Linked DNA regions of Macaca fascicularis. The protein of the gene in region 1 binds, or shares a complex with, the protein of each later gene. Links are inferred from orthologs where the notes say so. Each region holds a gene or a part of one and is shown in the gene's direction. Other genes may lie near its edges.

Region 1 (4,246 bases):
GGCTAATTTTTGTATTTTCAGTAGAGACGAGGTTTCACCATGTTGGCCAGGCTGGTCTCCAACTCCGGACTTCAGGTGATCCGCCCGCCTTGGCCTCCCAAACTGCTGGGATTACAGGCGTGAGCCACCGCGCCGGCAAAGGAGCTGGGAAATATCTTGACAGAGGGCAGGAATTTGCTAATCTCTGCAAGTGAGGGGTAGTGGTGGAGGCTTTTCACACTCAAGGGGCAGTATTAGTTCACCCATTAGCAAACGTACTTAAAAATTACCTCTTGAGAGTTCCGCTGAATAAATGAAACAGTATATTTAAGTCAGTATTGTGCATGGGACATGTAAGCTCTTAATGTTATTAATTTCATTTTATTCCTTTAAGTTGGATCACTGCGGCGAAACGTGAGAATGTTTTCATGAATTTGGCTACACATTAAAGCGACCTCTCCAAATGGGTTGTCGTATTTTACATTGCTACCAACAATGTAACAGCCTTCTAGTTGCTTTATGTTCCCATATACGAAAGAGCCCCACCATTTGATTCTGTTTTTCAGTTTCTGACAACCTCACCTACTTTCTCTTTCAAGTTCATCTGCCCCATTTTTATTTTATTTATTTTTTAGACGGAGTCTCGCTTTGTCACCCAGGCTGGAGGCTGGGGTGCAGTGGCGCGATCTCGGCTCACTGCGACCTCCGTCTCCCGGGTTCAAGCGATTCTCCTGCCTCAGCTTCCCGAGTTCCTGGGACTACAGGCGCACGCCACCACGCCCGGCTAATTTTGTATTTTTAGTAGAGACCAGGGTTTCGCCATATTGACCAGGCTGGTCTCGAACTCCTGACCTCGTGATCCGCCTGCTTCGGGCTCCCAAAGTGCTGAGATTACCGACGTGAACCACCGCGCGCGGTCCATCTGCCCCATTTTATATCACCACTGCAGTCACAAACTAAGTTCTCCTAAGAACCACCAAGCGGCGCGTGGGCGGGCGCCTCATACCACTACAATTGCGACCTCACAACCTAACCCCGGGCGCCAACGCTCAATCCGGTTCTCGCGGGAAGATTCATGGTTTTTAAGCGAGAACTTCTAAGCCCACGCCACCTCCCAAGGGTCACGTGACGCGCCTGCGTCCTCGCCTCAAGGTTTTTTTCTCGTCGCATATTGGCTGTTAACTCGGCTACGGGGTGTCGCGAGGTGCATTCCGGAAGTAGGTCCTTTGACTTTTGCTTTCTTTACGGAAGAGAGTCACAACCCGGCGGTCGACGCTTAGCGGAAGTTCGTCAAGTCGCAGTTGCCCCCGCACAGCGGATGTGGGTCGCTACTTAGGTGACGCTGGGAAGTGTTTGCAGCCTCCGCCGCTGCCTTCTGGTTGAAGCATTATGGAGGGAGACAGGAAGAACAACAACAAACGGTGGTATTTCACTCGAGAACAGCTGGAAAATAGCCCATCCCGTCGATTTGGTGTGGACCCAGATAAAGAACTTTCTTATCGCCAGCAGGCGGCCAATCTGCTCCAGGACATGGGGCAGCGTCTTAACGTGTATCCTTGCGGCCTAGGCCTTCGGCCTTTGAGTTGGTCCCGCCATGCTCTGGCGTCTAGGTCTCAGGCTCTGGTGGGGGACGAAAGTGGGGAAGAAGGTGGGCAGAAGCTGGATGTCTAGTTGGGAGAGCCCACGATGGGGCGGGCTGAAACTCAGTTCGCGCTAGGGAAGCGAGGCGGAGTTGATTTCCCGCTCGCTCACCCGTGCCACCAACCTTGCTGGGCATTCGTATCCTTCCCGGCTTCGTGTTTTAACCAGCCCTTCCAACTCTCTCTTCATTGTGTTCTGATCGGCTCTGGTGACGTTAAGTTTCTCATTTTCCGCTGTGCCCTAGGGGTTTGGGTCTGGCAGAGGTTTCTCTGTTGAGGGCTGCTTCCGAAACCTAGTGTGTAAATTTCGAGAAATTCAGTACCTGAAAGTCTTATAAAGGGTGGTCTAGAATTAATGCCTCAGCCTTGGTCCAAAATCCATTCCTCATCTGCTAGCTGTTTAAGTGACCTGTCAAATTCTTGGTCGTCTTGTCTATAAAATGGGATGATACCTCTTGTGTTTGATTCTGTGTCCATCACAATGCTTTGCATTAAGATGCTCAATTAGTAGCTGCTGTTTTATAGAATTTCAGAGGAAAGATGTTAGTTTACGTTTGTAGGGGTTACCCACGAATCTAATGTTTTAAATCGTTTACAAAATACTGGGTCCTTAAGTTACTTAGAGTGGTGGTGTGTATTTCATTTTCTTTCTATTTCAAAAATGAGGTAACGGCCGGGTGCGGTGGCTCACACCTGTAATCTCTGCACTTCTGGGAGGCCGAGGCGGGTGGATCACCTGAGGTCAGGAGTTCGAGACCAGCCTGGCCAACATAATTAAACCCCTGTCTACTAAAAATACAAAAAATTACCCCGGCTTAGTGGCGGGCAGCTGTAATCCCAGCTAGTCAGGAGGCTGAGGCAGGAGAATCGCTTGAACCCGGGAGGCGGAGGTTGCAGTGAGCCGAGATCGCGCCACTACACTCCAGCTTGGGCAACAATAGTGAAACTCCGTCTCAGAAAAAAAAATTAAAAAAAAAATGAGGTATCCTCTCCCACATATTTTTGTTTGTCAGGAAATATACTTATTTTGTGGTGGAGAAAACTTGTATAGTTTTAAAGTTCTTTCCACTCTGTGTATGAAAATTTTCTTGGGTGCAGCTTCTATTTAAATGTGTGGCTGACAGTAATGTTTGTATCTTAAGGGTGTGTGCATCTCAAAATGGGTGTCTTTTTTATCGCCAGTTTGTTTCCTGCTGATGTCCAGATGTGTTTCCTAAGCATCCTATCAGTACGGAGTAAATCTTTTTGTTCGAAATTCTATTTCAGTGTATCCTTAAAACGCTTTCCTTTTTGTATGTGTGTTGTCATTAAGGTTGTCAGCCAGGCGCGGTGGCTCGCACCTGTAATACCAGCACTTTGGGAGGCCCAGGCGGGTCGATCACTTGAGGCCAGGACTTCAAGACCAGCCTGGCCAAAATGGTGAAACCCCGTCCCTACTAAAAATACAAAAATTAGCCATGTTTGGTGGCGAGTGCCTATAATCTCAGCTACTGGGGAAGCTGAGGCAGGAGAATCGCTCGAATTTGGGAGGCAGAGGTTTCAGTGAGCCAAGATGGTACCAGTGCACTCCAGCCTGGGCGACAGAGCGAGACTCTGCCCCCTCAAAAAAAGGCTGTTGTAATTTGGGACTGCATCATCTCTCTACCCCATATTGTCTACTGAAGTTTTTAGAAGTAAGGCATTTACAAGTTTTTTCTTCTTCTTCAGTTAATGAATTATCAGATCATTTCAGATGTTTCCTGTCCCGTGGATCACCACATGAGAAGGCTTGGTTGCCAGAGAGAAGTGGAACTGAAAATAATTTAGGCCGATTGTGGTGGCTCATGCCTGTAATCCCAGCACTTTGGGAGACTGAGGCGGGCGGATCACTTGAGGTCAGGAGTTCGACACCAGCCTGGCCAACAAGGTGAAACCCCATCTCTACTAAAAATACAAAAATTAGCCAGGCATGGTGGCCCAGCCGGTAGTCCCAGCTACTTGGGAGGCTGAGGCAGGAGAATTGCTTGATCCCAGGAGGTGAAGGTTTCAGCGAGCTGAGGTTGTGCCACTGCACTCAGCCTGGGTGACAGAACGAGACTCTGTCTGAAAAAAAAAAAAAGAAAGTAATTTAGTTGATGGAGTTTAGCAGGTGAGAGAGGTAGTGGAGACATACCTATGGGCCAGATCAGGGTGGGCGCTGTAAATCATATTAGATTATAGATATCTGCCACCATGCCTGGCTAATTTTTGTGTTTTTAGTCAAGGAGGGGTTTCGCCATGTTGCCCAAACTGGTCTCAAACTCCTGACCTCAGGTGATCCACCTGCCTCTGCCTCTACCCAAAGTCCTGGGATTACAGGTGTGAACCACCGTGCCCAGCCAGGCCTTATAAATTGGTTTTTTTTTTTTTTTTGGAGGTGGAGTTTTGTTCTTGTTGCCCAGGCTGGAGTGCAATGGTGTGATCTTGGCTCTCCGCAACCTCCGCCTCCCGTTTCAAGCGATTCTCCTGCCTCAACCTCCCGAGTAGCTGGGATTACAGGCATGCCCCACCACGCCCAGCTAATTTTCTATTTTTAGTAGAGACGGGGTTTCTCCGTGTTGGTCAGGCTGGTCTCGAACTCCTGACCTCAGGTGATCTGCACCCCCTTC
Region 2 (4,566 bases), on another chromosome or scaffold:
CCACCGCGCCCACCCCAAGGGCTTCTTGCAGGAAGAGAGGGCATCCAGAGTCTAGGGGAGTGTGGAATCAGGGGAGAACCGCCCTGAACGCAGGAAGGCTTAGGGAGACAGTAGAGAGATTTGCATGGCCACAGCCTGGGAGGTGGGGTGTGAACTGGAAAGAGCTTCCAATGTCACATTCAGGTTCTTCGGGGACAGAGAGGCCAGACTGGGGGGCCAGGTCTCAGGATCCACCCGCAGAGGGCTGGAGAGGAGGGGGCAGATTGAAGCGGGGCAAAGGAGGCAGAAAAGACGGCTTTGCCGGAGGCTGTCCTTGGGCAGAGCTGGAGGGGGAATCTGGGGGCCGCTGGAGCCAGGAAGATGCAGGCGAAGGGATGGGCGCGATGGGGGAGGGAGATGGGGGGGTGAGTGGTGAGCTCCCGCCTGCATAAGGACAGCAAGCCTCCCCAGTGCTCTCCTCCTGGCCCAACCACGGATAGCCTGAGTCAAGAGAATCCCCTTCACAGTCAGACACCCAGCTTTGTCGCCGTGTGACCTTGGGCAAATGACCTCACCTCTGAGCCTCAATGTCCTCTTCTGCAAAATGGGTTAGTGATCCTGACTATGGGGCTGTTGATTCAGGATTCGGCGGGAACGCCCAGCACTTCCTGAGCACACAAAGAGTGCTGAGAAAATGGTAGCTGTTTTTTGCGATTATTGACCCGGGGCCTGATCAGCTCTGGCGCGACTCGGCGAAGGCGCGAGTCCTGCGGGTCCCATCCCTGCCTCCTGGAGAGCCAGGCTCCAGCGATAGAAGGCCCGGGCGTTGCTTGCTCGTCGCCTCCAGTGCCGCCGCGCCCCCTGGCGGCCGTCGGTTGCCATGTCAACGGAGGGTGGCGGGGACCGGGGGAGGCGGAGGCGGGGGCCGTTTTCTCCTCCCAGGGCCGGAGGACGCTCCCTCCGCGCCTCCCGCCTTCGCCTCTTGGGGGGGCACTCCGAGCCGGGGAGGAAGGGGCTCTCCGCGGCAGCCGGCATGTGGGGGTAAACTGAGGCACGCGGCTGGGCGCCCGCAGCCAGGTGCCGAGCGCGGGGCCCCACCTCCGAAGGCGGAGGAGGGGCCGCGGGCGGTGACGCGCCGAGGGCGGCCGGCGGACAGCGAGCGGGCGGGCGGGCGGGCGGTGGCGGCGGCGGCAGGTGCGGCCGCGGAGGGTGGGAGGGAGGAGGGCGGGGGCGGGCGGAGGAGGAGGGGAAGGCGAGGCCGGGCACCTCCCCCTTTATAACGCGCCCCCTCCCGGGCTCTCGGGCCGTCTCCTAGTCGGCTCTTCCCGTCTCGCCCCCTCGCCCGGCCGCCCCGGGCCCGGGCCCGGCCAGGGAGCCCCCAGGCCGCGGCTCGGGGGCTGCCCCCCCGCCCGCCGCCCCGCGCAGCCCGGCGGAGGCGGCGCCGTCGGAGGAGGAGGAGCAGGGCACTGCGGCTGGCCCCGGATCGGGCGCCAGAGCGGCAGCAGCTTCGGCAGCAGCGGCGGCCCGGGCCCATGCAGCGGGACGCGCCACCCCGAGCCCCAGCTCCGGCGCCCCGGCTCCCCGCGCCCCCGATCGGGGCCGCCGCCAGTAGTGGCGGCGGCGGAGGCGGGGGCAGCGGCGGCGGCGGAGGCGCCTCTGCAGCTCCGGCTCCCCCTGGCCTCTCGGGAACTACAAGTCCCAGGGGGCCTGGCGGCGGGCGGCGGGCGGAAGAGGCGGGGTCGGCGCCGCGAGGCCGGAAGTGGCCGTGGAGGCGGAAGTGGCGCGGCCGCGGAGGGGCCTGGAGCGCGGCGGCGGCGGGACCCGGAGCGGGAGCGGCAGCAGCAGCGGCTGGGGGCGGCGGCGGCGCGTTGGAGGCGGCCATGGCAAAGCAGTACGACTCGGTGGAGTGCCCCTTTTGTGATGAAGTTTCCAAATACGAGAAGCTCGCCAAGATCGGCCAAGGCACCTTCGGGTAAGGCTGGGCCCCTCGGGGCCGGGAGCCGTGGGCCTGCACCCCTAGGGCGGACGTCGGGATGCCCCGGGCCCCGCCCGAGTTGGTAGAGAAACCGTCTGTCCCCGGGCTTGCCCACTGGTCTTTAGGCCGCGCCGCACCCCGCCCCGGCCTGAAGGAGCCGGCTGGTGGGGAGGAGCCTGAGGCCGGTGGTGGGGGCGGGGAGGGGCTGCAGAGAGGCGCCCGTGAGGGGAACGGGATCTCTCCAAGAGACGCCCAAGTGAGGAGAAGGGACTGAGAGAAGGAAGCAGAAGCTCCGAACGAGACAGGGTGCCGGGTGGCGGGGTAGCCGCGTGCCCTGGGTACTTACCCCAGCCCCGCCCGGGAATCTTTTTGCTGCTGCCCCTCCTCCGGTAGTGGGGGAGGGGCGGGCCCTGCGGAAATCGCCTGATGAGCTCTCGGGTCTCCCTTTCCGCCTGCAGGGAGGTGTTTAAGGCCAGGCACCGCAAGACCGGCCAGAAGGTGGCTCTGAAGAAGGTGCTGATGGAAAACGAGAAGGAGGGGGTGAGTACGGATCGGGCGTGCGGGCCAGCCGTCTAACTGCCCAGGACCCCGGGTCGGTTTTCCACCCTGCTGCTTCTAGGAGTCTCAGGTTGAGATTTAATTTTTTTCGTAGTAGTTCAGAAATTTCCAGGGAATTTGGCCTCCACCCTAAAACTAAATGCTTCATTCTTAGGCAGTTATGGGTGAGACCGGGAGGGGGAGTTGATGCATGCATCGTGTGCACTTTAGTTCACGAAGTTAGGAAGCCTTTAAACACCTTTTTTTAGTGTTAAATTTTGCTTAATGTTAAAGAAAGATACATATGCATGCAAATTTTTGAAAAGTGACTAATACTCAGTTATTTAATGTGTTTAAAAGGAGCGGTCCCTCCACCCCATCTTAGCTCAAGTACAACGTCCCATAAACCTTCCTTTTCCTGATGTGCTTTAGCGAGGACATTTTTGAATCGTCATGTTTGTTGCCAACGAAACAGCCATAGAGCTGAAGTTTGAAGGCTGAAACCGCCGAGCATTTAGTGGCTAATAGCAAAGTATTGCTGTTTCAGTTTGTTGTCTCAAATTATCTCCTTGAAGTGTGCATGCTCCTACTATATCCATTTTACAGGCAGAGCTTCTGAGACAGCTGGTTTCAGAGCCCATGATCTTGCTCTGTCTCCCAACTTGCCTCTCAATATAGACCCCAGGGCTGGGCTCTGTACTGCGCTCACTCTTGACCACTTTCCCCTCTCTCCCACCCAGTTCCCCATTACCGCCTTGCGGGAGATCAAGATCCTTCAACTTCTAAAACATGAGAATGTGGTCAACTTGATTGAGATTTGTCGAACCAAAGGTAAGTTGTTTGGATCTTATGAGGAGATGACACTTGTAGCCTAAGGTTTTGTTCGTAAAGTTGGAACTAGACCCACCTAAACTGCCTCCTCTTAACTCAGATGGACCCATGGTGACTGCTTTCTCTGGTCCTCTTTCATCGTAGCTGGTGCTTCCTCGGGGTCTGCCCTGGCCCAGAAGAGGCACTCAGAAAATATTTGACCAGTGAAGGAAGGAACAGACAGATGCTCTGGAGGGCTTGGGTGCCCATGGGTTGGAGCAGGAAGAAAGAAACTGGTTGTGGGAAAGTGTGTTGGGTGTGGCTTTCTTGACTTTTTCTTCCTTGTATTCCTGCCTCAGCTTCACCCTATAACCGCTGCAAGGGCAGTATATACCTGGTGTTCGACTTCTGCGAGCATGACCTTGCTGGGCTGTTGAGCAATGTTTTGGTCAAGTTCACGCTGTCTGAGATCAAGAGGGTGATGCAGATGCTCCTTAACGGCCTCTACTATATCCACAGGAACAAGGTGGGGGCGAGAGCTGGGAGGAGGACCCAGGCTTGGGCTGGCCTTGGCTCCCACTCCCGGGTGGATATCACTGAAGGAGCCACTCTTGCCCTTCTTGCAGATCCTGCATAGGGACATGAAGGCTGCTAACGTGCTTATCACTCGTGACGGGGTCCTGAAGCTGGCAGACTTTGGGCTGGCCCGGGCCTTCAGCCTGGCTAAGAACAGCCAGCCCAACCGCTACACCAACCGTGTGGTGACACTCTGGTACCGGCCCCCGGAGCTGTTGCTCGGTGAGGACTCCCGAGCGGGCCGAGGGGGGTGAGGGCCAGGCATCTACCTGGCCCCCGCCCCCCCACTGCCAGGGCTTCTTGAGCTGCCGGCCCTGGGGCATTGAGTCTCAGGAGGCCTCCGGGCTCAAGGGGCCCTCCTGGTGCGCTCTTCTTCCCAGGGGAGCGGGACTACGGCCCCCCCATTGACCTGTGGGGTGCTGGGTGCATCATGGCAGAGATGTGGACCCGCAGCCCCATCATGCAGGGCAACACGGAGCAGCACCAACTCGCCCTCATCAGTCAGCTCTGCGGCTCCATCACCCCTGAGGTACGGGGTCCCGGTCCCCCGGCAGAGGAGTGGGGAGTGGAATGGAGGGAGCGCTCCTCTCTGGAAGGGAGGCTGGTTTGGTGACAGGGCCTGCCCTTGAGAGCCACACAGGCTATGCGCCAGTCTTGGTTCCATCAGCCATTCTGTGGCCTTGGGCAGA

Evidence for each region.
Region 2: the proteins of CCNT1 (region 1) and CDK9 are in contact, whole or in part, in a crystal structure (PDB 3BLH), measured with the Homo sapiens proteins. The link is inferred for Macaca fascicularis from reciprocal best matches to the Homo sapiens genes CCNT1 and CDK9. Residues at the interface, in NP_001231.2 of Homo sapiens: Arg5, Lys6, Arg11, Trp12, Arg26, Ile72, Gln73, Phe78, Phe89, Leu90, Lys93, Val94, Pro98, Lys99, Lys100, Leu101, Val134, Glu137, Ile139, Leu141, Gln142, Thr143, Gly145, Phe146, Glu147, Leu148, Thr149; in NP_001252.1 of Homo sapiens: Val8, Glu9, Cys10, Pro11, Phe12, Cys13, Lys56, Glu57, Gly58, Phe59, Ile61, Leu64, Ile67, Lys68, Gln71, Leu72, Leu81, Ile82, Glu83, Ile84, Arg86, Ile99.

What each region holds. Positions count from the first base shown.
Region 1 is NC_088385.1:55,529,601-55,533,846, reverse strand, and holds the start of CCNT1 (cyclin-T1), read left to right. Parts: upstream 1-1,310; 5' UTR 1,311-1,368; coding exon 1,369-1,529; intron 1,530-4,246. UniProt on the Homo sapiens protein: Regulatory subunit of the cyclin-dependent kinase pair (CDK9/cyclin-T1) complex, also called positive transcription elongation factor B (P-TEFb), which facilitates the transition from abortive to productive elongation by phosphorylating the CTD (C-terminal domain) of the large subunit of RNA polymerase II (RNA Pol II).
Region 2 is NC_088389.1:16,211,057-16,215,622, reverse strand, and holds the start of CDK9 (cyclin-dependent kinase 9), read left to right. Parts: upstream 1-1,744; 5' UTR 1,745-1,859; coding exon 1,860-1,951; intron 1,952-2,412; coding exon 2,413-2,494; intron 2,495-3,231; coding exon 3,232-3,322; intron 3,323-3,660; coding exon 3,661-3,827; intron 3,828-3,927; coding exon 3,928-4,099; intron 4,100-4,257; coding exon 4,258-4,406; intron 4,407-4,566. UniProt on the Homo sapiens protein: Protein kinase involved in the regulation of transcription.